Oryctolagus cuniculus: one gene and its partners. The protein of the gene in region 3 interacts with the protein of the main gene of each other region in a biochemical or structural test. Links are inferred from orthologs where the notes say so. Each region holds a gene or a part of one and is shown on either strand. Other genes may lie near its edges. The genes, in order: JAM3, KIRREL1, TJP1, CLDN8, CLDN7, JAM2 and CLDN4.

Region 1 (3,704 bases), on a different chromosome or scaffold from region 3:
CTGTCTCTTCCTCTCTGTAACTCTGTATTTCAAATAAATAAATAAATCTTAAAAAAAAAAAAAAAACTAGGAGAGACCTTGCCCTTCTACTGCACTGGCCCCCTAGCCTCCCACCTGCAGGCCTCTTAGAGGAAAGTCCCTGGGAGTCCTTTATCATTTCTACATGCTGGGCGATGCACTTCCCTGTGAGAGCACTGGTGGCTGTTTCCTTTATGCACATAAGAATGCAGGGAATTTATCAACAAAAGTCAGTTAATTTGAAAACTCAAAATTCTCCATTACTCTAGTATGCTGGTTCTCAAATGTGAGTGAGTCCTTGAAAATCAACTTGGAATTTGTATTTAAAATGTCAGTTCCAGTTCCATCTCTAAAGATACAATAGGTCTGGAGAAAACTCAGGAATTTTCCTTCAGGAGAAAATGACTCTAGTGTAGGGTTTCCCTACCAGGAATGCTTATTTTACAGAGACATTTCCAGGAGACATCTGGGATGGGCCCAGACTTTATCATCAGGTAACTCTAGGAAACACTGCTGTGGGTGGTTACAAATAGGAAGGAAAAAGAGAACGGAAAGCACCAGGAGTGAGGAGGTGCGCCTATACGTTCTCTCCCCTCAGCATCCACTCTGGAGCCAGGTTTCTGGAGGCCTTGCACAACCACGTGTTTGATAATTCCATCGATTACCAAGGAACCGGAATTTATTAACTCACTGAATGCTACGTGACTGGCCATGTCTCCAACACCAGAAGACCTGGGAAGTCTTTCTTGGGAACCTGCTTGTCTAGACTCATCCTGTCTTCCCCAGTGCGTTCCAGCCAGCTCCAGGAGAAAGCTGACCCAAGGGAGACAGCTGTCCAACCTGATGGTCTAATACTCAATATTGAATGTCTTATCCACTCTCTAGTCTTTGATGAAATCTTTTCAAAAAGTGACTCACAGACTTCCATCTCCTGCTCCTCACACCTGGCTGAGCCGGCATCATTGGAGGCAATACAGAAATACTGCCCGGAGTCCTCCTTGTGAACAGCGCTGAACACCTGTTCCAGGAAATAAGGAAATAAACAGACCAATCAACAAGGTAGACCTAAGGGGACAACAGAGTCCCCACTGCGCCCGAGTCCAGAAAGCAGCCAGTCTGCTCGTTTGGTTCTGGTCTGCCTGTGGCTCCCCAGGCACTGTCGCAGTTCTTCCCTGACACCCTAAGAGCTTCCAACCATAACCTCCCCTGTGTATCTGAAGAGACAAAGCTGGCAACATCCAGAACAACAGGCCAGAGAGTGGTCTGATCATGACTGCTCATCAGGCAATATTTTGACAAAACAAGTATCAAGGATCCTATTACAATCTGCCTGATGTTTGACTCCATGCAGACCACAGACCAAAGGCACTTGCCAAGGAGAACGAGACTGCTGGAGCTGTCTGGTGGTGAGCCTGTCTCTGCTAGCACAGGACCATCCTGTCCCATCACCCAAACCCTCACCACCTCAGGGTTCTGACAGAAATGTCAGGTTTCATCCATAAATACTTCAATATACGTCTCTAAAAGTTAAGAACTTTTAAAAACCATAACCACAATTCCATGATGCTGCTGCAAGCAATTAATTGCTTAATATGATCAAAGAAACAGCCAACAAAATTTCCCTAGTTGTCCCGTACTGCTTTTACAGCTGATTATCCAAATCACAACGCTGGCAACGTCTGTTGGTAACATTTAATGTCCCTCCGCAGTCTCTTCTCACCTCCAGGTTCCCTTGCTTTATTGCACCCCCTTTAGAACCTACTTGCCTATAAGGGCAAAAAGGGGCTTTTTTTTCTGTAGAATCTCCAACATTTTCAGTTCCTGTCTTACAAAGTAGTTCCATTGTCTCTCCTAATTGCTCTTTCAGCAGTAACCATCCCTGGCCCCAAGACACATCTCCATCATCACCTCTTAGAAGATATCTTACCAGGGTGCCGGTTTCAGAGTTTAAGAGAAAAGAGGAATTTCGAAATCTGGGATTGACCCTGGAGTCCGTCGGCAGTGGCATATCATTACGGTACCAGCTGTAGTAGGGCCGGGGAAAGCCCTCACTCTCCTGGCAGTGCAGTGTCGCAGTCTTGCCAACGGGGACCGCCTTGGGTACTCTGCAGACAGGGGTTACTGGCTTCACTGTAGGAAATACATGGATTGGTGTTTAAAATTGAAGCAACATGGCTCTACCCCTGTCAAAACCCACAGTGAGCTGGGTCCAAAGACAAGAAAGCCAGCTGAGCTGCCCTTGCACCACGGTTATGTGGCAGGTGCCTCCTGGAGATGGTGAGGAAGTGGCAGGAGCACCACTTCCCACCCCAAATTAGGCAAAGCCTCAAAACTTCCCCCCTCCCAGTCATGCTTCCCTCAGAGATACAGCTCTGGAAGGAAAGAAATCAAAATCCTTCTCTTTGATTCCACAGATGGAGACTCGTGAAGCCTGAAAGAGGTGGAAATGTTTACCTTCACGTGCTCCTACCTTGCACAATTAACTCAATGGTAATCTCATCAATTTCTTTGCGGTCATTTCGAGCAACAACTTCACAGCGGTAAAGGGCTGAGTCTTTCCGAGTCACATTCCAGATCTTCAGGGAAGTCTGCCCCAGGACTTCCGCACGACCTGCCAAGTCTCCTACAGAGAAGATGATACAGGGCACCAAAAACTCTAAGGCTCTCTTTGCCACTTGAGGGTGGTTTCTGGGGCCAGAATTTGATACAGAGTAAGGAGGCTGCAGACTGGTTTGTTTCTTTATACCATGTAACAGAAATGAGTGCCCTGAGGACTGCAATCATGACTCTCCTATTTGTAACCCAGGCACCAAAAATAGTACCAGGTGTTTGAGGAGCTCTCAATGAGTGTGTCTTGCTAAAGCTAGGATCCTCATCTCTTTTCTATCACTCTCAAGAGAGATTCCCCATTCCAATAAAATAAACAAGATAAAAAAAGAAAAAGGAATAAAACCCTTGGCTTTCCATAAATGATGCTTTTCCACATGCAAAACAAGGTAGTTGAATCTCTACTTCATTTTCTGTATAATTAAGAGTTATGAACTGTTAGTAAAAAGCAGGCATAAATCTTCATGACCTTAGATTAAGCAATGGTTTCTTAGATATGACATCAACAGCACAAGCACCCAAAAAAAGTAGTTAAAATAGACTTCATCAAAACTAAAAGGTTGTGTTTCAAAGGACGCCAGCAGGAGAAAAGGCAATGTACAGGACCGCAGAAGTGTTTCCAAGTCTATTTGACAAAGGACTAGTATCTACAATGTAGCAGTATTAAGAATTTACAATTCAACAATGGACAAGTGAGTTTAAAACTGGGCAGAAGATCCAAAAAGGCATTTCTCCATAGAAACACACAAATGGCCAATCTATACATGAGAAGATGCTCAACAGGTCAGTCAACAGGAAATGCACATCAAACCACGGGGAGCACCTCTTCATATCAACTAGGACTGCCAGAAAAAGTCAGACAATAGCAAGTATTGCTAAGGATGTCAGGAAGTACACTGCTGGTAGGGACATGAAATGGTAAAGCTGCCTTTGGAAAAGTTTGTCAGCTTCTTAAAAAAAAATGAAACATACAACTATCACATGACCTAGAAACTTCTGGTCACTTCTCCCAGAGAACTGAGAACTTACATTCACACAAAAACTTGTACATGAATGTGCACAGCAGCATTACTGGTAAT
Region 2 (4,315 bases), on a different chromosome or scaffold from region 3:
CATTTAGATAAGATACAGAAAATTATTTAGTGAAAAATGAAGATTGATGAAGCCCATTGAAATTCTTTAAAACGCGATTTTTATTTCTCCGCCTGAGCTGCAATCTCCCCTCTCCCCTCTGCTCTCTGCTCCCCTCCATTCTCTGGCCTTCCTTCACCTTCCCCCTTCTGCACCACCAGCCCTCAATCCCCTGGCAACACCTTCCCGCTCTGTTTCCTCTCTCCCTGCCCCAGTTCCTGGCCCTGAGGGGGGAAGGCTAAGGAGAAGGGGTCCCGCCAGGCACCCCTAGTGCATGCCCCAGGCTCCCCGACCCCCACGCCCTCCCTCCCTTCTCCTCCCCAGCCCCTGGCCAGCTTCCCCTGAATACCCAGTAGTAATTTCCTTTCCCTCCTGACTTCCCTCCCTTTCTGCCCTTTAGTATCCTCTCCCCCACCACAAACACTTTTGCATAGCGTCCTCAGGTCTTGCTCTCAGCCCACTGGGGAGGACAGGGAGGGGGAGGTTCAGGATTCCCTGTCCTCTTCCTCCTTCCCAAGGGGTGAGAGAGACACACACAATATACACATTTCTTTCTGACCATTCCTGTCTCCGATTCAATGCACATGTCTCTCCTGTTTGCTAACTGCAGCTTTTGTTCCTTAAAGCTCCTTCCTATCCATGTTGCTGACATGCCAGGGCTCCAGGAAAGGGGCAGACAGGAGCTGCCCCCCCTCCACATACCAATATTGACCCAGGGTCCCTCCCCCTCCCACCCGCCCCTTCCCCCACCACAGCAGCCTGACTGAACAGAGTCAAAACTTAAGTCATCTTCCCAACTTTCTGCCAAGTGCCCGGCCTGGCCTGCCAACCCCAGGGCCAGGCCTCCTTCCCCAGCACCCCCTCCCACTCTCAGCTCACACCAGACATGTGTGCCCTTCCCGTGTGTTCAGCGTGTGCAGGAGGGAAAGGCGGAAGAAGACAGGGCCCCAACAACTCAGCCCCGGGGAGGGTTCTGGCTGGGAAACGGGGTGTCCGGCACAGCAGCCCACACCACACACACACACACACACCCACAAACCTAAGAAGGAAAGTGAGCATTGAGCCATGCCTGAGGCTGCCCTCCCCAAGCCCACTGCCCTCTTCCCAGATCCACACCCCCACTCCCCAAAAAGAGACCACCTCCTCCATTTTGTAGTCTATACAGCTCCATAGGTGTCTGGCTGTACCAATGTCTGTTCAAGTTTCTTTGTTTGCTCCAGGGCTGGTATCTGTAGAAGGGCTCCTGCACGCCTCTGTGTGTGTGTGTGTGTGTGTGTGTGTGTGTGTGTGCCTGCGCGCGTGTCCTTGTAAAGGCTGCCTGCACACATGTTCCCTGTCTGAGTTTTGGCGCTCTGGGGCAGGATGTGTGTGCCAATCTGGGGAGGAATCCGTGACCCTCGGAGATGTCAGCGCCTTTGTGTCCATGTGTCTGTCTCAGTGTGGGGGATGTCTGCTGGTATGTCTGCGTCTCAGTAGGTGAGCAGTCTGTCTCCCTGTCTGTGACTGTTTTATGGTGTTTCTGTGTCAATTTCTCTGTGTCAGCTTCATGGAGGGAGGGGGTTGAAGGGGGGGGGAGTGAACCCGACAGGATTAAATCTTGCTTAGAGGCAGACCCCAGAGGTAAGAACACACTCCCACAGACCCCATTCCTGCCTGGAGTCTAGACCCTCGGTTTCCTCCCCCTCTTCCCTCCCCCAGCTCAGCCCTGCCCGGGATCCACCAATATCCTCACCTCTCTTAACCATAGCCGTGGCCTCCCAGCCTCTCCCCTGCCACTTCCAAATAAGCCCCCAGACTTCGGCACTTCCCCGACCCCAAGCGGGGTGTCCCCCCCAGTAAGTGCCCCTAACACATCCACTGGGCCTGCCGCTGTATTGGGAACTCCACTCCCCGCCCACAGCCGGCGCGGCCCACGGCTCCCACTCCCCCTCGCCCCAGGCTCGGAGGCCCCCTCCGCTCCCTGCCACCGTAGCTTTCTCTAGAGGGGGCGGCCCCGGCAGCTTGGAGCCGCGGTTCAAAAGCAGGCACCCCGACAGGCTGAACGGGAGGGAGCTAGGGAGACCGATCCTCTGAGCAGCATCTCGGGGGTAGCCCGGGGCCCCGGCTGCCCGCGCACCCCACCCCAAAATCTGAAATCCCACCCTGGCCGGGCGAAACCCTGGCGTCCGGACCCCGGCCACAGGGACTGGGGCTAAGTCGGGCTGCCGGGGGGCTCCGGGAAAGACTTTTCCGTTTTTCGCTCGGACCCCCAGCCCCGGCGGCCCCCAATTCTCCGTTCTCCCGCTCAACCAGAGCAAACAACTTGGATGAATCAACGGAAAACTCCTCCTCGCCGGCCCCGGCGACTCCGCGCCCGGACCCCGTTCCCCCCGCCTCGTGGCGTCTGGAGCCCGGCGGCTGCCCGCGGGCCGCTCCCCGGGCGGCGCCGGGGCGTCCGGGCGCCGGGGGTCGCGGAGAGAGGGGGGCGAGGTGGTGGCGTCTGGGGGCCCTTACCTTGGGAGAAAGTATCGGAGAGAGTGAGGATCCAGACGAGGAGGCTCAGCATGCTGCCCGCCCGCCGCGCGCCCGCCAGCGGCTGGGGCCCGGAGTTGGCGAGCGAGAGAGGAGCGGGCTGGGGAGGAGGGGAGCCCGCGAGCCCGCCCCCCGCCGCCGCGCCCGCCCCTGCACACGCGCCGCGCGCACACGCACACTCCCGCTCGCACAAACTCACTTCCCTTCCCGCGGTTTCCCCCTGGCAGCCTCCTCCCCCCAGCCCCTCGGACGAGTCCTCCTCTCGATCGCGCCCGCTCCCCCGAGCTCCGGCCGCCCGCGCCGCGCGCCCGCCCTCCTCCTGACGTCTGCTCTCTCCCCCCCGACGGCGCCTCCCTCCGCCGCCTCCCCTGCCCCCCAGCGCGCGCGCACACTCGCACCCCTCGCTGGCACCGAGACGCAAGGGCGGCCGAGAGAACGGAATTGAGGGCAAGGCGACGCGGATCAGGAGCGTGACATCGCGGGCTCCGGCGCAGGGGCGGCTGGACCCCTGCCCGCCCGCGCTGCCGCCCGTTTACAGACGCGGTCTCGGTCCCGGGCTGTGGGTTTGTAGCGGAGGGTCGGGGTTGGGGGGACAGGGTCTGAGGATAAGCCTCGTACGCAGAGGATGGCTGTGATGAGGAAGAGTGTGTGTGTGTGTGTGTGTGTGTGTGTGTGTCTGGTAGGCTGCCAGGGAGTTAAAGAGCATACAGATCTCAAAAAAAGAAAAAAAGAAAGAAAGACCAGAAGCTAATTCCTAGATCCCCTCAATGAAGAATTCTCCACTGGCTAGTGAATGTTGGAGGGGGGAGGGGCAGACATTCCTCTCCCGGCCTAAAAACCCCAGAACTAGAGAATCTACTTGGCCTGCCTTGAGCCCCTGCCAGAGACCAGGCTAAATGTTGGAGCCCTCAGCAGCCTGGAGAGGCACAGCTGCCTCCTTCCTTTGTTCCCCCTGGGCCTCTACCCACCCAGAAGGAGAAGCTAGCCAGCACCACGGCCCAGCTTGGAAGGCCAAGGACTGGCACGGCCTCCCTTCCAAGCCCGTGGGAAGAGCTGGCTGCCCAAAGAAGGTCTCCAAGCAGGAGTCTGAGATACCTTGGGGTGGAGACGGAGGAGCGGCTGAGGGAGGGACTTCCTGGTGGGAGTGATGAGGGGCTGCAGGAAGGGTCCGCTTTCTCTAGGGCCCAGTCTAGCAACCAGCTCCTCTCCCAAGCCCTAAGCAGAAGCCTCTGGTCCCAGCGTTGCTGGCAGTGCTTGGAGGTCTGGACCCTAGGGGATGAACTGAGGGGAAACAACACAAGAGTCACAGCAGTTGCACAACTTTACCGTAATGCCTGCTGGTCTAGAGAGGTCTCCACCTCTTTTCTCCCACATTCTGCATCTCCTGGGTCCCTAACTGCTGCCAGCGAGCATTTCTTCTTCCTTTCAGGCCCTGAGCTCAAAGCGCACGGCTCTCTGGTGCCCTCTGCTGACGTCAGGCGGCCAGGACTCGCCTTTCCTCCCCCGGATCCTGAAACATCCGCGCCAAGTAGAGGGCACAGAAACACAGGCAGGAAAACGCACAAGCTCTTACTCTGAAAGCTGATGCTCACAGTCCGGAGAAGACTTACATAGTTCAAAGCCGCATGTGCACAGGCAAGCACAGTGTAGAAACAAAGAACCGTACTTAGGCCAGAGACCCAGGAATGTAACCAGCACACGCACACACTAGCGCAGAGACATGCAAGGGCTCTTCATGTATTCCTTCATTAAACATGCAAGCCACAGATACTTCCTTAGTGTCTTC
Region 3 (4,313 bases):
TACTAACCCATACATTTGTTGTTTTTAAGATTTATTTTATTTATTTGAAAGACAGAAGTACAGAGAGAGGTAGAGTCAGAGAGAGAGAAAGGTCTTCCATCCACTGGTTCACTCCCCAGGAGGCTGCAAAGGCCAGAGCTGAGCTGATCTGAAGCCAGGAGCCAGGAGCTTCTTCCGGTTCTCCTACTTCTTTGGGTCCAGGGGCCCAAGCACTTGGGCCATCTTCTACTGCTTTCCCAGGCCATAGCAAAGAGCTGGATTGGAAGAGGAGCAGCCAGGACTTGAACCAGCACCCATATGGGATGCTGACACTGCAGGTTGGGGCTTTATCCCACTGCACCACAGCGAGGACTCCTAACCTACACATTTGTAACCATCAGTTAAACAAGTTTTGAATGTTTTGACAACGTTTTTAAAGACTATGGAACAATCATTTCCCATTGATTCTTAAGAGAATTTTGCTTGGTTCATGGTCACTTCCATTGTCTAGAGCTCCAGGGCAAACGAGGACTGCATGTGTTTGTGTCTGAGTGTATTATATATAATATACATATATTCTATATGTGTTTGCCCATGTGTGTACAACATGTATGCAATATATATTACATATGTGTATGCAATATGGACGCTATATATGTGTGTGCGATGTGTATGCTATATATTACATATGTATACACACTATGCATGCTATATATTATGTGTACAACATACATGCAATATATGTGCCATATGTGCGCAATATATTACATGTACATACATACTGTGTATGCTATATATATGTGCGTGTAACATATATGTGATATATTTTATAGCCACATGTATGCAATATATTACATGTGTATATATACTATGTGTGTATATACTATATATGTGTGTACACAATATGTATGCAATATATTATTTGTGTATACAATATTTTGCAATATATATTAAATATGCATGTATGCAATATATACATATATATTGCATGTGCATACAATTTGTATGCGATATATGTGTGTATACAACATGTATGTGATATATTCTATATGTGTGTGCAGCATATATATAAAATTGAAATCGTCAAAGACTTTAGGGAAACAGCTAGATAAAGGTTATCTTCGGCACACAGATGATGTTGATAAACCACCCAGTGGCAAACGCAGACAAAAGAGTGTATTTTTTCCGCTCTGGGAGCTTGTCCATCGGGGCATAAATGATTGAAAATGAGCTCCTGGCAACCAATGAAGAAACTGAGGCATGCGGGGTGCAGGGCCCGGTGGCGCCGGCGGGCGGTGCTGCGGGCGCGGCGGCCACGCCAGCCCCGCCGCGCGCCAGGCCCGCACCCGCCCGCCCGCCCGCCCGGTGCGCACGGCGGGGACCGCGGCTCGCGCGGGCGGCGGGGGCGGCGGGGCGCGCGCGGCGGCGGCGGCGGGAGCGGCGGGAGCTGTGGCGGCGGCGGATGGCCCAGAGCTGATCTATGCGGCGCCTGGAGGGGCTGTGCCTGCGGCGGCGGCGGCGGCGGCGGCGGCGGGGCCCTGCCCGCGAGCGGAGCGGGGACAAGATGAAGTACCAGAAATACCTGACGGTGCTGCAGATGGCCATCGGCGTCACCCCCTCCAACCGCGGCAGCCTGCTGCCGCTCAAGAGGAAGCTGTGGTGAGCGCGGCGCGGCGCGGCGCGGTGCGGTGCGGTGCGGTGCGGTGCGCGCGAGCGCCGAGCCCCAGCCCGCACCGGGCGCCGGCCGGGGCCGCCCGGGCGGGGGCCGGGGCGGGCGGGCAGGCGGGCAGCCAGGCCGCGGGGCCCGGCCCGCCGGAGCGCGGGGCGCAGCAGCCATGTCGGCGCCCTGCGGGCTGCTGCCGCGCGGCCCTGGCTGTGCCGGGCCACACGTAGGGCGGCGCGGGGCGGCCGGGCTCACCGCAGCGGCTCCCGCACCCGGCTCCTCCGTTCTGTGAACCCGCATCCATCCAGCCAGCCAATGCAGGCTCGGGATTTCAGGGCAGGCTTCCTGCGGGTCGCGAGCGCGCGATCGCTCGCCGCGGTGCGCGGTCCCCGTGACTGCTCCGAGCGCATCGGTGCGGGGTCCGCAGCGGAGGGCGCGCCGCCGCCGCGCGGGCTCTGGCTTGCGGGACCGTGGGCACCTTGTTCGGTGCTATGTGTCGCTTGCACGCGGTCCCGTTCCTGGAAGAAGCCGGGCTGGGAGTTCTGCGCGCCCGGGGTCCCGTCGTTCGCGGCCGGGCGCCCGACCGTGCGGGGCGTTCTCGGGTACCTGCACCCAGCCGAGGCGTCCTTTGGATCTGGGGTTCAGGCTGGGAGGTTCTACCGCAAAAGCCGTTGTAGGGCAAAAAAGGGAAGGCGAGTGTGGGGCGCAGGTGCCAGGGATCGTGGTGGGCGCAGGTCGTGTTAATGTTACCGTGAGTGGCCAGTTGTAGGTCCTTAAGGCATTCCTTGGTCGTCTGATTTAATAATAGGGCTGTGGATGCAGACAGGCAGGCGGGCTTAGGTATTCGAGGAAAGTGAGTCCTGCTGTGAAAGAATTGCCCAAGGTGTATAAATTGACCTGCCCCAAAAAATGGAGGGTCAAAAAATGGAAGAGTTTTGGAGGCAAAGCAATAAATATGGGTGGCAGTGCTCAGACTTGAGCTGTGACCCAGGCAGCTTCCTGGAGCGCCCGTTTCTCCCGGTAGCCGTCCGCACCCGGGGGTTCTCTTGCAGGTCGGCTGTGCCGGGAAGGCAGGCGCCTGCCTGGACAGCAGGTGCTTAGCTGCGCTATTGCCTTTCTCCCTGCTGCACCCTGTTTGTTTTTTAATTTGGTGAGCAGCAAATGGTGACACCCCCAAGACAAGACTGGTGGGAGCAGGTAGCAGCTGAACTAAATGCCTTGGGAAGAAGACCAGCGAGTAAGTCGTGAGGATGTGACTGCGGAAGGTGACTTTGATGGGGGAAGGGGCATTGGCAGATCGGATCAGGTGTCTGCAGCCTGATGCCCCACCCTGCTTCCCTCTGAGTGTCTGTCAATAACCAGCACTTAGGGCTGGCGCCATGGCTCACTTGGTTAATCCTCCGACTGCGGCGCTGGCATCCCATATGGGCACCAGGTTCTAGTCCCGGCTGCTCCTCTTCCAGTCCAGCTCTCTGCTGTGGCCCGGGAAGGCAGTGGAGGATGGCCCAAGTCCCTGGGCCCTGCACCTGCATGGGAGACCAGAAGCACCTGGCTCCTGGCTTCAGATCAGCGCAGCGTGCCGGCCGTAGCAGCCATTTGAGGGGTGAATCGACGGAAGGAAGACCTTTCTCTTTGTCTCTCCCTTTCACTGTCTATAACTCTACCTGTCAAATAAATAAAATAAAATAAAATAACCAGCACTTAAATGTTCTACTTACTGTTCCTACACGTTGTCCCTGTCCCCACTAGAATGGGGGAGGGGCTCTTTATTTCATTACTAGGTCCCTTGCAACTGGTTTCTGGCACAAAATAGTTTCTCAATAAACAGTTTTTAGATAAATGAATTACTCATAATGCCCAGCTGGGAAAATGTTAAGGTAATCTGTTTTCTTGATGCTTGGTTTTAAAAATTAAGATGTTAGAGTGACATTTGAATGCTACTAGGCATCACAAAGTTCAGGAGTTAGCTTGGTTCTCTTCCAACACTGGAGTGCTACTTCCCCTTTTTTTTTTTTAAGATTTATTTATTTATTTGAAAGTCTGAGTTACACAGTGAGAGAAGGAGAGGCAGAGAGAGAGAGACCAGGAGGGAGAGGTTTTCCATCCACTGGTTCACTCCCCATTTGACCACAACAGCCAGAGCTGTGCTGATCCGAAGCCAGGAACCATGAGCTTCTTCCAGGTTTCCCATGCGGGTACAGGGGCCCAAGAACTTGGGCCATCTTCTACTGCTTTCCCAGGCCGTAGCAGAGAGCTGAATTGGAAGTGGAACACCTGGGACTCAAACTGGCGCCCATATGGGATGCCAGCAGTGAAGGCTGTGGCTTTACCCACTATGCCACAGCGCTGGCCTGGAGTGCTACTTCTTGAAGCACATCTCCCAAACACACGGTTTGTGAAGAGAGGACACAGGGAAATAAAAGCCAGGCAAAATGTGTACTCAGTGCTTTAGGGCCAGGGAGAAAAACTCTTACGAATCAATGACCAGGAAAAGGCAGGCAAGATTTTGTTGACCTTTTCCTTAGTGTTAGCAGAGCTTTTCAGAATTTTCACTCAGTGTTATTCTCATTTCTTTTTTTTTTTTTTTAAGATTTATTTTATTTATTTGAAAGACAGAGTTACAGAGAGAGGTCGAGACAGAGAGAGAGGTCTTCCATCCGCTGGTTCACTC
Region 4 (4,156 bases), on a different chromosome or scaffold from region 3:
AAAGAAGAAATTACTGTAAATATAACTTTCGTTTTTTCTTACTTTCAAAATGTCGTGCGAATAAAATAATAACTTGGATGGTGGTACATTAATTATTTTTAGGCTATCATTTACTTTGGCACTTTCCTCTTCCCCACCCTTCTATGGAGAGTTTATGTTTCAATAATCTTTATTAACCACTCAGATTTTTTGAACCATTAAACTTTCACATTTAATAAGTGAGCCAAAGACATGCCCACATTTGAGTTTAAGTTACACAAGAAAGCATAGAGAAATTAAAGTTATCATTTCATGGGGTTAAGATGAAAAAAAAATTAAGCACAGACTGAAGATTTGGAAGATAGGACAGTGAGCTCACAGTGTTCTTCATAAGAACATTGCTAGGGGAGTATTCCTAAACCAGTTTCTGCTTATTTTAGAACCCATGTTACCACCATGGTTATTTTGAGAAGACATAGTTCAAATTGGCTCTTATGTAGGGGCTCCTATATCCTTTGAAGATGTGATATTAAAAAGTACAAAACACAAATTTGGTTAACACCTAATATTTTCAGTTCAATTAATGCAGCTGGTGTGTCCTGTAAACAGCTTATTTAAATCTATCAGACATTTGCCTAGACCCAAGACTTTTCTATCATCTGTAGAATTCTAGTTCCTTCAGCCGGGAAGATGGAGCAATAAAGATACAACCACAAAGTAAGCTAGCAAGCTGCATGTCACCCATAATTTAAATGTTATAATGTTTGCTACACTAAAAAAATCAACTAGCTTTTCTTTTATTACATTTTTTTTCTTTTAAATCAAGATTATCAGCAAAATACCAACAAGTAGTTTTTCTGGCTTTAATGAAAACAATGCATTTGGTGCCAAGGAGGAGGACTTTAGCTTTATTTTGTTTTTCAGCATGATATGTTCCCTGATTTTACCCTGCCAGGGCTTGCTTTGAAGTTGTAGGCAAATTAAAACTACTTGGATCACATGTATTCAAAGAATGTGGTTTTCCTAGGTATGAGCAGTCCATCAATGCCCTCCTCTCCTTTCACTTTGGCATTTTGACAGACCTTGAAGATTTCTTAGCAGGTATTTTATTTTATACCTTGCCCACAGCAGCTTTTACACAATTGCCTGTATAAAATGCACCTTTTACATTGCAAGAGATTGGCTCATTTCTTGATGATTGTGCAAACATTCATAATTATGCCTGCAGGTAAACATACTGCTGTCTTCTCGGAAAACAGAGAATTACAAAGAATGTTTATGTGCAGGTCCAGCCATTCCAAGTATCTCTGGTTGGTTTAGACACACCTGAGTTACCATCCCCCCGTCTTATTGGCTGAGAAAGTTGCCATACCTGATTTGTAAGTTTTCCTCTCTTAGTCAATAGAGGAGGCGGGGGACAACACAGCCAGCCAGCACTGGATTTAATCTACTAGAAATAGCAAAGCAGCTCTTATTTGAAAAGCTCCTGGGTTCTGAGTTAAGTATTATTGGAAACTCTTCTCTCCTGAGGCACAGAGAATCTTGCTTCGGAACAGCGTTACTAGTTCAGTTCAGGCAAATAAAATCTATTCCGGAGGATAATGGCGACCTATATTCTGCAAATTGCTGGACTGATGTTTGGCGGTGTTGGCATGGTGGGCACGTTGGCTGTCACCATCATGCCTCAGTGGAGAGTGTCTGCCTTCATCGAAAGCAACATCGTGATATTTGAAAACCTCTGGGAGGGCCTGTGGATGAATTGCATGAGGCACGCTAACATCAGGATGCAGTGCAAAGTCTATGATTCCCTGCTGGCTCTTTCTCCAGACCTGCAGGCATCCAGAGGACTCATGTGTGCTGCTTCTGTGCTGTCCTTCTTGGCTTTCATGACAGCCATCGTCGGCATGAAGTGCACTAGGTGCACTGGGGACGATGAAAAGGTGAAAGGTCACATCCTACTCACAGCTGGAATCATCTTCATCGTCACAGGCATCTTGGTGCTCATCCCTGTGAGCTGGGTTGCTAATTCCATCATTAGGGATTTCTACAACCCAATAGTGAATGTTGCCCAGAAACGCGAGCTTGGAGAAGCCCTCTACATAGGCTGGACCACCTCGCTGCTGTTGATTGCTGCAGGGACCCTGTTCTGCTGTGGTTTCTGCTGTACTGAGAAGAGCAGTAGCTACAGATACTCAATACCTTCCCATCGCACAACCCAAAAGAGTTATCACATGGAAAAGAAGTCACCGAGTGTGTACTCCAAAAGTCAGTATGTGTAGTTGCGTATGTTTTTTATCTTTACCTATAAAGCCATGCAAATGACTACAATACCCACTATTTTCTAATTATGGAGCCCAAAGGAACATTGATTTACTGTTGTTGACTGCTGAACATTAATTACAGGAACTACACATCAGCTGTTTATGATTCTATAAGCTATTTCAGCAGAATGAGATATTATACATTCTGCTTTGATTGTTTTAGGAAGTCTAGTAATTTGCCAAAATTGTTCATGCATCTATTCCTTTTATCAGTTACTTCAAAATGACATTGTTAAAGACTGTATTATTTTACAACTATAATTTCTGTGTGTCATAGAATTATGTACATGATTGAGCATGACATTTGTATCTCACATAAATAGAGACCAGCTTATATGGGTTTATTTAAAATGAAATACTGATCCATTGTACTGAATAAATAGGACTCAACTATTGCTTTTCAGGGTAATCAGAGATTTGAAGAAGTTAATATTAATTGTTTAACAATAACTTAGAGATTAAGTCTATAATGAAAACTAAAAATGAAGATTGTAATCAACAGTTTGAAGGAAATTAAATGGTTCTTCTGATATTCTGTTTTTCAGCCTAGAAGTTTAGAAATCCTCACTCCCTTATCTTTTCCCTAGAGGCCTTCATTTTCTTGTGTGTTAAATTAACATCGTTAAAACACAGATGGTCTGCAAGGAACTTTGTATTCAGCCTACTTTTTCAGGACTTACTAAGAAGAATGATTAAAATGTGATGAAAAAATATTAACAATCCTAAGGAAGCAAATTATTTTCTTCTTAAGTCCTTGTAGTTGGATAAGGATGCTGGTTGACAAAAAAAATCATGTATGCATGAGAATATTTTAACAATCATTGAGTACAGACTTAAAGCTTTTAGCAATATAAATAACAGCATAGAAAAATAACATATTTTGGTTTTCATTTAATTCCACCCCAAAAATCCAAAAAAAAAATATACTTTGAGCATTCCATTGCTCCTAAGTGGACTTATCTCAAAATTGTCACCTCAGTTCTGCTGAAGATAAATTTCCTATTTGTTTCATTTTTGTTCAGGTTTACTAAACTGTGAAATACTATAGCTTTGTGTTTCCTCCAAATTTGATGAAACAGAAAATCCAATTTGAAAGTTTATATCTATTTTTGTCCAGCTTACATAATTATGCATATTATGTACTTTGTCTTTTGTGTTTATAAATTGTGCCTTTTTATAATCATTTGAAACCTTCTCATTTATTGTTTCTGTTATCAATTTATAAGAGTAAAATAATGTACATATATTATTGAATATACATGCGCATATGACTAGAATCGAAGATGCTACATAGAATTCAGTATACAACATATTAGTGTATGTGTACATGTATTATATTACCTCATAAAAAGCAATTGCCTTGCATTTAGAGAGGTGATAATTCCAGAGCTGTGCTATCCCTTCTACAATATTCTCCAAAGACATCGCTTCCACAGCTGACTCTGAACACCTTACACCTGGTTTACACTCTATCATCATTACAAACGGCCCCTGAGGGCTGTGCAACTACAGTCTTTTCTCCTGGGCTTTTCTGTGACTCTGTTCACAGCCATCTTTCTTCTAAAACCTAGGTGACCTCATGATTGGTCTTTCCTACGCTTTAACTCCCTTCTCCATTCTGTCCCACCTTCTTGATAATTAACTGCTTTATGTGCCAAATGACTATTAATTTTTTGCTTAGAATAATATATTTTTAAAATTTAATTTATTCATCTGAAAATCAGACCACAGAGAGGGAGAGGCAGAGGCAGAGAGAGAGAAAAGCCAGAGAGAGAGAGAGAAAAAGAGAGAGAGAGGCTGAGCTTCCATCAGCTCCCCAAATGGCCACGATGGCCAGGGTTGGGCCAGACCAAAGC
Region 5 (4,500 bases), on a different chromosome or scaffold from region 3:
GCCACTGAAAGATTCTAAAGAGGCAAGGACAAGATCTAAGTTTACAAATGAAGGTCACTTTAGGCTACAGATTTTTTTTTAAATTTTTTGACAGGCAGAGTGGACAGTGAGAGAGAGGGACAGAGAGAAAGGTCTTCCTTTGCCATTGGTTCACCCTCCAATGGCCACCGCGGCTAGCGCGCTGCAGCCGGCGCACCGCGCTGATCCGAAGGCAGGAGCCAGGTGCTTCTCCTGGTCTCCCATGGGGTGCAGGGCCCAAGCACTTGGGCCATCCTCCACTGCACTCCCTGGCCACAGCAGAAAGCTGGCCTGGAAGAGGGGCAACCAGGACAGAATCCGGCACCCTGACCGGGACTAGAACCCAGTGTGCCGGCGCTGCAAGGTAGAGGATTAGCCTAGTGAGCCACGGCGCCGGCTAGGCTACAGATTTTAGCAAGACAGGAGTGGGGGCAGGGAGATTAGAGCAGTCAGGATGTCCTGGCAAGAGGTGACCGTGCTGTGGCCCGGGGAGGTAGCAGAGAGCTTGGAGAAAAGTTGGGTACACATAAGTCAAGGGAAGAGCTGGAAGTCACCTTAAAAAAAAAAAAAAAAAAAAAAACCACCTCACTGTGCTTCAAAAAGTACAATAAAAATGAATCACAAAGAGTTCTGAAGAGTCCGCATTTTCATACAAGAGTAGGTTAATTAGATGAGCACAAAGAGCCCATTAATAAATGTACAGAATAAATGAAGATTTACAGAGAGATGTTTGAGGAAGAAGAACCATGGGAGGAAACACCAGAGAACCGGGGTGAAAAGCAGAAAGAGGGCAATGGAGTGAGGGAGAGATGGGGCAGGGGAGGTGTGGAGGGTCTGGGCTGGAGGAGAGGCAGACTGGCAACCCGCACGAAGAGCTGGGCGAGGCAGCCACCTGCCTGGAGACGGACCGCAGGATGGATGCAGGGGCGGGGCTGGAGGTGGGCTACGCCCGAAGGTGAACTGAGAGACCGGGGGGGGGGGGGGGGGGGCTGGTGAGTGTGAGCTGCGAGTCTGAGGGTGGACTCAAAGATCCCGTTGTAAAGCCAGATGTTTGGGTGCACAGAACACCGAGGGGATGGGAGAGTGCGCACAAGGCGGCTTGGCTGGGAGAGAGGCAGTGCTCAGTGTGAGTGGCGGGGCGGGGAAGGTGGAGAACGGGTCTGAAAAGACGCCAAGGGAAGGGAGTGATGGGCGCGGCCAAGGCTCTGACCCAGGCCTACCCCGGCTTCCCACCCTCCGCCAGCTCCTGGCCCTGGTGGTTTCTGTGCTCTGCTAGGAGCCTAGATGCTGGAGCGGGTAGCAGCCTGGGGGAGGAGTGAGAAGGGCCCAGGGATGCACTGGGGGCCGGGAAGGGGGGCTTCTTGAGGAGCAGGGGCTCAGAGGCCTGCGGGCTGTTGCAGGGTCAGCCCAGGTGGGAGGGCCAAGGCCGGGGAGGTGGAGCGCTCGTCCAGGGGCCTCCAGGAGTGGCAATTCCAACAAGGCGCGATCCTCAAGGACCCGGCTAAGACCACCCGTCAGAGCAGGAGAAAGAAGGAAAAGAAGAGCAGAGGGTGGAGGCGAAAGTCGAGCGGACAAAGAGCATTGGAGGCAGAAACCGGCGGCGAAAGGGCGGCGCCGAGCCTGGCCGCCTGCCTCTGCAGTGTCCCAGGTGCACCTGCTGGGGAGAGAGAAAGGGGCATCTCCGAGTCCGGGGGAAATCCAGTCCTGGGGGCTGACTCGAAGCTGGAAACTCCTGAGAAGCCTCCGCCTCCTCCTCACCTGCGGCCAAAACCCGGCAAGTGAATGGGCGTGACCCTAGTGCTCAGGTTTCTTCCTTTTCACCTGGGCAAGAAGGGGTGGGGGCCAGGACTTCCGGTTCAGGTGAGTGTCCCTTCGGTGACGTCAGGTCACCCTCGGCCGCCCCTCCGGTCCCGCCCCCCCTCCCGCGCTCCCGTTGCCCGCGGGGGCGCGCCCCCGACGCCCTACTTATACTCAGGTGCGCCGCACCTGTCCGCCCGCACCTGCCGGCTCGCCTCCTCTTCCGTGCACCGCAGCTTCAGGCCGATAGCCCGGGATCTTATCCTGGGCTTGCCCGCACTCAGGGCCGCGCCCATACGGCCCCTACACCTTTTGTTTGCGCAGGGTCGCCCGGAGCGCCGAGGGGGACCGCCCGGCCTCGGGGATCGCCGTGTGCGGAGCCGCTGCTCCGGGAGAGACCAGCGCTCTACCGGAGGCGTCGATTTGCCTTTACTCCGAGGACAAGAAGATAAACGCCTCTTTTGTCTCTTTGGGCGGCTGAAAACTCCACCTGGCTTGTTTCTTGTGGGGCTGCCCCCACCCTCAAGTTTTATTTGCTTCACTGTAGGGTCCCCCGCCCGGGGCTCCCAGTCTCTTTCCGAAGGCGGAAATGGCCAATTCGGGCCTGCAGTTGCTCGGCTTTTCTATGGCTCTTCTGGGATGGGTGGCCCTGGTGGCGAGCACCGCCATCCCGCAGTGGCAGATGAGCTCGTACGCGGGCGACAACATTATCACGGCCCAGGCCATGTACAAGGGGCTGTGGATGGAGTGCGTCACGCAGAGCACCGGCATGATGAGCTGCAAAATGTACGACTCTGTGCTCGCCCTGTCCGGTAAGGCCGCGCGCGGGCCCGACGGGGCGCACTTGCCCCGGGCCGAGGTGGCGGGGTGGTGTCCCGGGCAGGGCCGAGGCCCCGCGGCCGGGCGCCTCGGGTTGCAGGAGGAAGCGGAAGAGTACAGGCCGGGGCGGTGGGGCTGGGCGGGCGCGGGCCAGGGTTCCGTCCGCTGCACGTGGGCTCGCGCCTCGGCCACCTGCGCGCCTCTTCCATCCCGAGCTTGGCCTTCTACCTCGCCGGGGGAAGCGGAGCCCGAGGCTGGGGTCGTCCCCTTCTGTACCCTCCACCGGCAGACAATGGCTTCCGCCATCTCCCGCCTCTTTCTCTCGGACAAAAGGGGGCACTGGGCGAGGGCCGCGGAGCGAGCGCGCTCTGTCAGATGTGGGCCGCGGTTTGCGGCCTCTAATCTTATCGCCCGATTAGCCAAGGCCACGCGCCCGCGGCCTCGATAGCAGGGCCGGAGCTGGGACGCCGGCCGGGACGTGCGACCAGCGCGGGAGCCCCGGCTGCCCCGTCGGCTGCCCCTCTGCGCCCTTCCCCCTCTCCGTGGCGGTTTCATCGAAACCCTGGCGCCCCGGGCGGGTTCCGAGCAGAGGGCGGAGCAGGAAGGCCGCGGTGCCGGGAGGGGGCGGGAACCTGCGGGCTCCCAGCCGGCCGTTAGATGCGGCGGCGGCCCCGGGCCGGCGGCGGCGCCCAGCGCCGGGAGGACAAGGGTCCAGGGGTCACTGGGCGCGGCCCGGCCGCCGAGGCTGGAGCCGACGGAGGGCCGCCTGCCTTTGCAGCAATGACAGCGACCTTTCTCCTTCCTCGCAGGGGCCTTGCAGGCCACTCGAGCCCTCATGGTGGTATCTCTGGTGCTGGGCTTCCTGGCCATGTTTGTGGCCACGATGGGCATGAAGTGCACGCGCTGCGGGGGAGATGACAAAGTGAAGAAGGCCCGCATTGCCATGTCTGGAGGCATCGTCTTCATCGTGGCAGGTGGGCCCCAGGCTCTCCTCTCCCACCACGAAGTCGTGGGCGTGGGCAGAGCACACCCTGTCTGAACTCTCATTCTCTCTCCAGGTCTTGCTGCCTTGATAGCTTGTTCCTGGTATGGTCATCAGATTGTCACAGACTTTTATAACCCCCTGACCCCCATGAATGTTAAGTAAGTCTGGGAACCCTGCCTATCGGGACAGGCCTGGGGGCCTGGGGTAGGGGGAGAGCAGAGGCAGGCCAGGGTTCTGACCCAGTCCCTTCTCTTCCACAGGTACGAGTTTGGTTCTGCCATTTTTATTGGCTGGGCAGGGTCTGCTCTGGTCCTCCTGGGAGGCGCTCTGCTCTCCTGCTCCTGCCCTGGCAGTGAGAACAAATCTGCGTACCGTGCACCTCGCTCCTACCCCAAGTCCAACTCTGCCAAGGAGTACGTGTGAGCCGGGACCCCATGCCCCAGCCTGACTGGCTGTGGGTGTGCCCAGATACCTGCAAGGCCCATGGGCAGAGCTCAACCTGTGAGCAGGCACAGGACAAGGCCTCCTGTTCAATCTATCCCTGCACACCATGTACAGTTCTCTACGGGGCGGGGAAGGGGGGGCCAAACAGAGGGGAGGGTGTGCTTTTTGTACAGTAATAAAAAATAGGTTTTGGAAAGGCGGCTTTTTTTCCTTCGAGGGCCTCTGCTTTCTTCCACCCTTTCCTTACAGGGAGCTTGGAAGCTAAAGTGCGCCTACTTCTTTAAAACACTCACAGAACCCCAGCGGTGCCCAAGGCTGGTCTACCCTGTTTCATTTTCATTGTTACTCAGGCCCCTGTAACAGTCAGGTGTTCTGCTTCTCTCATTCATTCCTGTCCCCACTCTTTGTTTAAATAGCTACTAGTTTATTATTATTAT
Region 6 (4,397 bases), on a different chromosome or scaffold from region 3:
TGGTCCTAGTGCTTGGATTCCTGCACCCACATGGAAAACCTGGATGAAACTCCTGGCTACGGCCTGGCCCAGCCCGGGTCGCTGTGGCCATCTGGGGAGTGAATCAGCAGATGGAAGACCTCTCTTTCTTTCTCTCTCTTGTCTCTCTCTCCTCGGTAACTCTGCTTTTCAAATAGAATAAATAAATCTTAAAAAAATAAATAAAATGCAATGTCCTGTCCTGGATAGAATCGTGCAACACTGAAGGACAAACGGTAAGAATGAATAAAGGGGCCAGCACTGTAGCGTAGTGGGTAACATCGTCACTTGCAGTGCCAGCATCACATATGGGCACCTATTTGAGGCCCGGATGCTCCACTTCCGATCCAGCTCTCTGCTATGGCCTGGGAAAGCAGTAGAAAATGGCCAAAGTCCTTGGTACCCTACACCCTCGTGGGAGACCCGGAAGAAACTCCTGGCTTCTGGCTTTGGATCGGCACAGCTCCAGCCATTACAGCCATTTGGGCAGTGAACCAGAGCATGGAAGACCTCTCTCTGCCTCTGCCTCTGCCTGTCTGTAACTCTGCCTTTCAAATAAATAAATAAATCTTTCAAAAAAAAAAAAAAAAAAAGAATGAAGAGAATATGAACACAGTGCACTCTGCTCACCTAAGTCAGCAACAGGGAAAACTGACGGTGGGTTACACAGCAACTCTCTATCCTAACTTGGAAAATTCTCTTCAAATCTATCTGTTCTAAAATTTCATTAAAAAACTTTCATAAAAAAAAAAAAAAAAAAAAAAAAGACTTTAGCAATGCCAGACCTTGGCCATCCCAGCAACAAGACAGAAAAGATCTCGGCAACATTTCCCAAGTTAATCCCCGGCACCATGGTTAGCAGGGTTATTCTACCCATTCATCCAAGCCTTTGTTTGCCTCTTAGTTGATTGTCAGCTACAATTTCAAACTTAGTGTACTGCTTCTATCTTAATGATGGGGCAGGGATCACAGGAAAATGCTTTGCTCCTTCCACAACTAAAGTCACAGGCTTTTCAGATCTGAAACGGAAGATTTTAGTGGCCACCGTAACTTCCCCAGCTTTGTTTCTATCCCTGCAGCCTGCCTCTTTGTTGCCTTTCTGCTGAGCACATCTCCCTGCGCGTTCAGCAGGACACCAATGGATGGTCAGAAACTGTTAAGGGTCTTACTGTGAAACTTGGCCTTCCCGGCCTGATTTTCTATAATATAGGTCAGCACATGGCCCTTCCCTTGGAGAACCGCGAGTCCACCCCCGCCGCAAGGGACACAGCTCACACACACGAGGACCTTGGGCTGAGCGAGATTCACTTGGGCAACCAGAGACTGAGGGGAAAAACTCAGTGTATCGTGGTATTACACACTCACCAGGAGGTCTATTTTAAGTACTGTAAGCATTACATTACCAGAATGAGCCAGGATAACTCATTTTACCAGGAAAGGCGAAAAACAAACAAACAAACAAACAGGTAAGGCAAGAAGAATGTAGGAAAAAACGAAAAAAGGAAGGGGTAGGGAGGGGACGAAAGAAAAAGGAAAATACTTCATGGCGCAAAATCTAGTAATTTCCTGCATTTTCCTAACAAGTCCACGCGAAGAAAACAAAAGGAAACGTTCCCAGGGTTTTCAATCTCGTGCGCCCAGAATCCGTGAAAATCCGGCTTATACGCGTCCCGCGGAGCGTCTGCATCTTCCTCCCAGTCGTCCCGTGGGACGTCCCTGAGGACCCCCGCCGCTGTCCGGGGTCGTGGGCCGGGACGGCGCCCCGCAGCAGCACAGGTGCAGGCGATCTAGGGAATTCCAGCTCCGCAGCCGCGCACGCCCCCGCCCCGCAGCACGAGCGCTCCGCCGACCCCGGGCACTGATGGGACCCTCACGGAGAAGCCAGGAGCACGGGGACTGCGGGAGTGGCCGGCGCCCGCCTCCCAGTGATGATGCCATGTTTCAGGGGGTTCTTAGCATCTCAGGAGTCGTTAGTGAGTTTTGCATTCGGATCACGTCCCTGTGCCTTTGAAAACTTAACCCAACTTTGCACCTGGTAGTGGGGGCCCTTAATTTTCTCAAACTAGCACTGACACAATCACACGCACTTACGAGAAGCCCAAGACCCGCCCCTCGCTTCCCACCGCCGCCGCCGCCACTACACTGCCCGCAGCCCCGGATCCCAGCCCGCGGGGTGCAAAGTCCGAGCCCCGCGTGGACCCGCAGCCCAGGGCCGCCCCGCTCCGTCCGCGCGCTCAGAGTCTGGGGTCCGGGGGGGTGGGTCAAAGCAGGACCGGGTGGGAGGATGGAGGCTCCCGAGCGACTTACAGCCCAGGACGACCACCAGGTACCGCAGCAGCAGTAGGAGAAGGCGGTGGCGGCTCCGCCTCGCCATCTTCGCGGGGCCGGAGTGGGCAGCTAGGGTCCGGCGTCTGGAGAGTGCGCGGCCAGGCGGGGGCGGGCGAGAGGGGCGGGTCTGGAGGAGACGTCAGTTTCCCCCTCCAGGGTGCCTTCTCGGCTGGCTGCCCAGAAGCTGGTCTTCCAGCCTTGGAATGGGGGGTCTGGGCCGTTCTTTTTTTGGGGGGGCGGGTGGGGTGCCAGGGGAGGGCGTGGACGCGGGACGAGGTGTCCGCGGGGTCCTAGTGAGGGGGCAGCAGGAGGCGAGCAGCGCAGGGAATGCCCTGGCCGGTCGCCCCCGCCCCGCGCCGCGCCGCCGGCATTGATCGGCTTTGTGTTGGGTCCGGCGCGGGCAGCCAGCTGTCCCCAGGGCCGGGAGCCCGGGGCGCTCGGGGAGGGGGCGGAGTGGGGAGGGGTTCCCGCCTGCCTCGCTCCAACTCCTGTCTTCCCCGCCTCTCCAGGAAACTTCTTTTGAGGTTTTTCAGCCCGGGGGTGGAGTCTTTGGAGAATTTCTGCCCAGAGCAGGAGGCGCGCGGAGGAGATGGGGTTCGTGGGCTCCGCCTTGGACTCAAGACTTAAAAAAAAAAAAAAGCTGCCTAGACTCGTGCGGGAAGTCAAGTCTCAGACTTTAGCAACAGCCTCAGCCCCTTCTCAGTGTGCGCTTTTCGGTCCTTGGAGAGCTTAGGGGTGTTTTGTGTTGCTTGCTTCTTCCTGTGCCGGAGTTGGAAGTTCCTCTATCGGTGTGAAATATTTATCATGTTGCTTTCCAGTTACATAACTGCCGCCTGTGGAGTTTTCCACATGTTAAAACTCTACAGCTGCCCTTTGTCAGGTTTATTTTTGGCCTACTGTGCTTTTAAAAGGGAAACCCATTATGAATGCGCTGTTGCGTGCTTTAAAATTGACCCACACTTAAGCTGCACTCACTGACGAAGGCTGAACTGGCAATGTGTGTGTTTGTTCCTAGGGACCGAAGCTGTCTGATGTGTTCAAAAGGATGGATAGGTCTGGGAAGAGCCATTCCCGGGAGAAGAAATTGTTGCACATCAGAGTTTTGTCTAAGGTAGAATAATGCATAAAGTTCTGTGTAGAGAGTTGATTTAGTGGCCTACACACAAAGAATTCAGCCAGCTCAGTGGACAAAGGCGAGCAGAGTTTAGATATGCAGAGCTGTGAGGAATGAGGCATCCCTGCCGTTGCCTTGGTGACAGGGACGAAAGCTTAGTACCCATGGGGAGGGCGGGGCGCGGAGGACCCAGGGGGCCCAGAAGGGAAAGTGGCAAATGGCTGAATGTTCCAGCTCCTGCCCCAGTCCAGCGGGAAGGGGTGCCGAGGTAAGGACAGCCGTCTGCCAGCTTTTCCAGGCAGTAACAAGATTCAATACTTGGAAAGAAAAGCTGTCCGTGACCTCTTTTTTTTTTTCTCATTCTTGCTCCAACTGTGCGTCTTTTACTCCTCTGTAAACAAAACACACACAAAGGCAGATTTTTTAAGGAGCAGGGATTCGACCTCATGTTAAAACTCACCCACCGGCCTTCATCAGGCTGTCTGGCTCCTGACTCCGGCTTCCTGGTAATTCAGACCCTGGGAGGCAGCCGTGGTGGCTCAAGTAGCTGGGTTCTTGCCATCCATGCCTGAGACTTGGTCTGAGCTCTTGGCTTCCGCCAAGCTTTTTCAGCCTACTCCCACCCATTGTGGGCATTTGGGGAGTGAACCAATGGATAGGAGCTCTCCCTAACTCCAAATGCCTCTCTGCCCTTGCAAATGCGTAATTTGTTTAAAGGATTATACCTTTTTTATAAAAATTGTATTTATTATTTATTTTAATGCAGAATTACAGAGCTAGAGAGGGAGAGACAGAGATCTTCCATCTGCTAATTCACTTTCCAAATGGCCGCAAAGACCAGGGCTGGACCAGGCTGAAGCCAAGAGGCTGGAGCTTCCTCCAGGTTTCCCACATGAGTGGCAGGGGCCCAAGCACTTGGGCCATCTTCTACTGCTTT
Region 7 (3,634 bases), on a different chromosome or scaffold from region 3:
GTGTTCCGGAAATGGAAGGTATTGGCTTCTCTGGGTCAGATGTGGACAGGCCGCTGTATCCAGGCCCCAGATGTGTGGCTGGGTAGTGGCGGGGACTTGGGCCTGCTCCCCCCAGCATGGCCCTCTCCTCTAGGTCCCCCCAGCCCCTACCCTGACTCAGGCCCTCCCTGAGTCCGGACCCCCCATCCCTTCCTGTTTCCAGCAGTGCCTCCGGAAGCTACGGGGACAGCTGCTCACCACCGGTGCCCCTGCCCACCTGCCCCTGAGTACCGCCTGGGGCTGGCTCTTGGCTCCGGCCCCTCCCTGCGGCCAGGCAGCCCAGTGTCCAGTCAAACTGCATTCCTTGCTGTTCCCTCCACCCCAATGCCCCCTTCACCTAGTCCCACTGCCTTGCACAACCCTCACAAGGACCCCGCTCCCAGAAAGAGCTGTGTCTCGAGGCCGGCGCTGTGGCATAGAGGGAAACGCCGCTGCCTGCAGTGCCGGCCTCCCATATGGGTGCCAGTTCGAGTTCCGGCTGCTCCACTTCCTGTCCAGCTCTCTGCTGTGGCCTAGGAAAGCAGTAGAAGATGGTCAAGTGCTTGGGCCCCTGCACCCACGTGGGAGACTTGGAAGAAGCTCCTGGCTGCTGGTTTCAGATCAGCACAGCTCTGGCCGTTGTGGCCAATTGGAGAGTGAACCAGCGGATGGAAGACCTCTCTCTCTCTGCCTCTGCCTCTCTGTAACTCTGTCTTTCAAGCAGATAAATAAATCTTAAAAAAAGAAAGAAAGAGCTACGTCTCCCCACCCCAGTGCCCGTTCCCGCCACCAAGTCTTGCTGCCTTGCCCACCCCCTCAACCTCCCCCCGCCCCCGCACAACCCTGGCAGCTGCTGTGTTATCTGCAGCCCCCACCCCCACCCCCCACGCCTGGCTTGGCTCTCCCTTGCCTTTGAAGCCTCCTGGGACTTTGAACCTCTCTCTGTGTCCACACAGAGTAAACAGCCACCGTGGGGCTGATGCCTCCCAGGTTGCTGCCCCCAGCCTGCGCTGCCCACGTAGGCTCAGCCCTGGCCCACGGGGGCCATGGTGGTGGCAGGGGGACCAGCTTGGGTCTCTCTTTGGCCAAAGGTGCATGGGGGTAGGGGTAGGGCCTCCCGTGTCCTCCGTCTCCCATACCTGACCTGCCTGGCAGTGCGGGGCTGATTGACAGTGGCGACAGTGCCCGGATGAGGAGCCTGGGGGATGCTGGGACCCCAGGCTCCAGGTCCACCACCTTGCTCGCCCCACCCCGTGGACACCAGATGGCCCTGGGCTGTGACTCAGTGTCTGTCTCTGGCCTGACTTCAGCATGGGCCGGGGTGGGGTGGAGGGAGTGTGGGGGGAGGGGCTGGGGGAGAGAGGGCAGTTTCCTCTGAGACTCAGGGGTGACTCAGGGGCCTTTCAGTGTCTTGGTTGGCCAGGGTTCAGGAATCCAGAGAAACTGGTCAGGGCCCGAAGCCCCTCCCTCTGCCCCCGCCTCTCTCCGCCAGAGCCATATAACTGCTCCACCTGTAGCCGGCGGGGCGGCTGTTGGCTGAAAGAACTGGTCTGCTCACCCTCCTTGCTGGCGCTGGCTTTGTCTCTTCCCTGCCCAGGGCCGGTGTGACCTCAGGCCTTGAGATCCCTCTCAAGCCGCCCCGATCGATCGCCAGAGCCCAGCGGAGACGCACGCGGAGCCATGGCTTCTATGGGACTGCAGGTGATGGGGATCGCCCTGGCCGTGCTGGGCTGGCTGGGCTCCATGCTGTGCTGCGCCATGCCCATGTGGCGGGTGACGGCCTTCATCGGCAGCAACATCGTCACCTCGCAGGTCATCTGGGAAGGGCTGTGGATGAACTGTGTGGTGCAGAGCACGGGGCAGATGCAGTGCAAGGTGTACGACTCGCTGCTGGCGCTGCCGCAGGACCTGCAGGCGGCCCGCGCGCTCACCATCATCTGCATTATCGTGGCCGCCCTGGGCGTGCTGCTGTCCGTGGTCGGGGGCAAGTGCACCAACTGCGTGGAGGATGAGACGGCCAAGGCCAAGACCATGATCGTGGCAGGCGTGGTGTTCCTGCTGGCCGGCCTGCTGGTGATGGTGCCCGTGTCGTGGACGGCCCACAACGTCATCCGGGACTTCTACAATCCGCTCGTGGCGAACGGGCAGAAGCGCGAGATGGGCGCCTCCCTCTACATCGGCTGGGCGGCCTCCGGCCTGCTGCTGCTCGGCGGGGCTCTGCTGTGCTGTAACTGCCCGCCGCGCAACGACAAACCCTACTCGGCCAAGTACTCGGCTGCCCGCTCCGCCCCGGCCAGCAACTACGTGTGAGGCGCCGGCGCTCGACTGTGTCCCTCCTGGCTGGGATTGTCCATCGGAGCTCGGCATGGTCTGGGACCCAGGAGGAGGCCCGTGGCCAGCAGCCCTCAACCCCGCCTCGCCCCACTTGGACAGCTTCCCAAGGACGGATGGCAGAGAGACACCGTGCCCCGCTCCTCTGAATGGCTCCCGGAGGCAGGCGACAGAGCAGGGAGCTGGTCCTGCTGGCCAGGCCAGCCCAGCCCTGACCTTGAACTGTGTTTCAGAGTGGGTGCCCACTCATGCCAGTGTAGCCGCTCTAGCCTTTGCCCAGCTCCGTCTGCCCACACCCTCTGCCTGCACGTTCCATGACTCCAGCGCCTGTCTTGCCACCGTCTCCCTGGCTCCTGGCCCCGCCAGCTGCATGAACTTGGGGGATCCACGCTTGAGCCATACCTGCCCTGCCCGAGAATGGCGCCGAGGAGCACAGAGTGGACAGACTGGTTTGGAGGGGAGGAGTGGAGGTGGGACAAACTGGTTTGGGCAGGAAGGCTGGAGAACCCCTCCACCCTCCCCAGTCAAGGACACTGGCCAGCCCGGCGGGTGTATGTTGGGGGCAGGGGCTCTCCCTCGATGTCTCTGTTTTGTAATTTAAGAAGTGCTATTCATCACTGTAATTATTATTATTTTCTACAATAAACGGGACCTGTGTACAGGAAGATCTGTATTTGTCTCTGATTGGGGCTTGCAGGGGTGGGAGCGGGAGGGGCGGGGCTGGAGGCCTGTGCAGGGGGTCAGCCGGGGCCAGGACCCCAGCGCTTAGGAAAACGGCTTCGGGGAATCGCGACAAGCAGACCTGGCCGTAATCTTGGGAGTCACCCTGGAGGCAGGAAATAGCGCATGCCAGGGACCCAGCGGGGACCCCGGGAGGGAGGGCGAACCCCGGGGCTTGGTCTCTGCCCTCCCCACCTTGCCGGATCCTGCTTGTCCTGCAGGGCCAGCTCTGAGCCTCCTCCCTCAGAAAGAGCATCATCACAGGCCAGCTCACACAGGTCACCAGGGTCTTTCCACCTGCTCCAGCCAGGGCACCCTCCTGGCCACGCCTGGGGCTCTGGGGCCCCTTCACGGGTGAGGAAGTGCAGCCCTGGGCTTGTGGGAGCATGTGGCCCGGCCCTGGACCCGCGGCGCGGAACCCCGGCTCTGACCCAACCCGCTCTGCTCTGCTGGGTGCTGTTAGCACTGAGTCGGGCCCTGGGTTCCTTGTGCATGGGTTACAGCTGCAAGGGCCCAGCCCCTGGGGAGGACTCAGGCAGTCACTGTCAAGGCTGTGGTCCTGTCA

Evidence for each region.
Region 1: the proteins of TJP1 (region 3) and JAM3 form a complex in vitro, tested with the Homo sapiens proteins (2 studies listed by BioGRID and IntAct, with this or other methods). The link is inferred for Oryctolagus cuniculus from reciprocal best matches to the Homo sapiens genes TJP1 and JAM3.
Region 2: the proteins of TJP1 (region 3) and KIRREL1 form a complex in vitro, tested with the Homo sapiens proteins (3 studies listed by BioGRID and IntAct, with this or other methods). The link is inferred for Oryctolagus cuniculus from reciprocal best matches to the Homo sapiens genes TJP1 and KIRREL1.
Region 4: the proteins of TJP1 (region 3) and CLDN8 form a complex in vitro, tested with the Homo sapiens proteins (2 studies listed by BioGRID and IntAct, with this or other methods). The link is inferred for Oryctolagus cuniculus from reciprocal best matches to the Homo sapiens genes TJP1 and CLDN8.
Region 5: the proteins of TJP1 (region 3) and CLDN7 form a complex in vitro, tested with the Homo sapiens proteins (2 studies listed by BioGRID and IntAct, with this or other methods). The link is inferred for Oryctolagus cuniculus from reciprocal best matches to the Homo sapiens genes TJP1 and CLDN7.
Region 6: the proteins of TJP1 (region 3) and JAM2 form a complex in vitro, tested with the Homo sapiens proteins (2 studies listed by BioGRID and IntAct, with this or other methods). The link is inferred for Oryctolagus cuniculus from reciprocal best matches to the Homo sapiens genes TJP1 and JAM2.
Region 7: the proteins of TJP1 (region 3) and CLDN4 form a complex in vitro, tested with the Homo sapiens proteins (2 studies listed by BioGRID and IntAct, with this or other methods). The link is inferred for Oryctolagus cuniculus from reciprocal best matches to the Homo sapiens genes TJP1 and CLDN4.

The regions. Positions count from the first base shown.
Region 1 is NC_091432.1:128,325,522-128,329,225, reverse strand, and holds part of JAM3 (junctional adhesion molecule C), read right to left. Parts: intron 2,642-3,704; coding exon 2,489-2,641; intron 2,149-2,488; coding exon 1,946-2,148; intron 1,037-1,945; coding exon 937-1,036; intron 1-936. UniProt on the Homo sapiens protein: Junctional adhesion protein that mediates heterotypic cell-cell interactions with its cognate receptor JAM2 to regulate different cellular processes. Plays a role in homing and mobilization of hematopoietic stem and progenitor cells within the bone marrow.
Region 2 is NC_091438.1:41,056,806-41,061,120, forward strand, and holds the start of KIRREL1 (kin of IRRE-like protein 1), read right to left. Parts: upstream 2,805-4,315; 5' UTR 2,564-2,804; coding exon 2,512-2,563; intron 1-2,511. UniProt on the Homo sapiens protein: Required for proper function of the glomerular filtration barrier. It is involved in the maintenance of a stable podocyte architecture with interdigitating foot processes connected by specialized cell-cell junctions, known as the slit diaphragm.
Region 3 is NC_091443.1:10,918,129-10,922,441, forward strand, and holds the start of TJP1 (tight junction protein ZO-1), read left to right. Parts: upstream 1-1,408; 5' UTR 1,409-1,459; coding exon 1,460-1,638; intron 1,639-4,313. UniProt on the Homo sapiens protein: TJP1, TJP2, and TJP3 are closely related scaffolding proteins that link tight junction (TJ) transmembrane proteins such as claudins, junctional adhesion molecules, and occludin to the actin cytoskeleton.
Region 4 is NC_091435.1:15,228,523-15,232,678, forward strand, and holds CLDN8 (claudin-8), read left to right. Parts: upstream 1-1,339; 5' UTR 1,340-1,580; coding exon 1,581-2,258; 3' UTR 2,259-3,483; downstream 3,484-4,156.
Region 5 is NC_091448.1:51,865,600-51,870,099, reverse strand, and holds CLDN7 (claudin-7), read left to right. Parts: upstream 1-1,663; 5' UTR 1,664-2,404; coding exon 2,405-2,627; intron 2,628-3,443; coding exon 3,444-3,608; intron 3,609-3,692; coding exon 3,693-3,777; intron 3,778-3,879; coding exon 3,880-4,042; 3' UTR 4,043-4,259; downstream 4,260-4,500. UniProt on the Homo sapiens protein: Plays a major role in tight junction-specific obliteration of the intercellular space.
Region 6 is NC_091435.1:20,255,755-20,260,151, forward strand, and holds the start of JAM2 (junctional adhesion molecule B), read right to left. Parts: upstream 2,894-4,397; 5' UTR 2,393-2,893; coding exon 2,326-2,392; intron 1-2,325. UniProt on the Homo sapiens protein: Junctional adhesion protein that mediates heterotypic cell-cell interactions with its cognate receptor JAM3 to regulate different cellular processes. Plays a role in homing and mobilization of hematopoietic stem and progenitor cells within the bone marrow.
Region 7 is NC_091450.1:50,315,477-50,319,110, reverse strand, and holds CLDN4 (claudin-4), read left to right. Parts: upstream 1-1,527; 5' UTR 1,528-1,698; coding exon 1,699-2,328; 3' UTR 2,329-3,014; downstream 3,015-3,634. UniProt on the Homo sapiens protein: Can associate with other claudins to regulate tight junction structural and functional strand dynamics.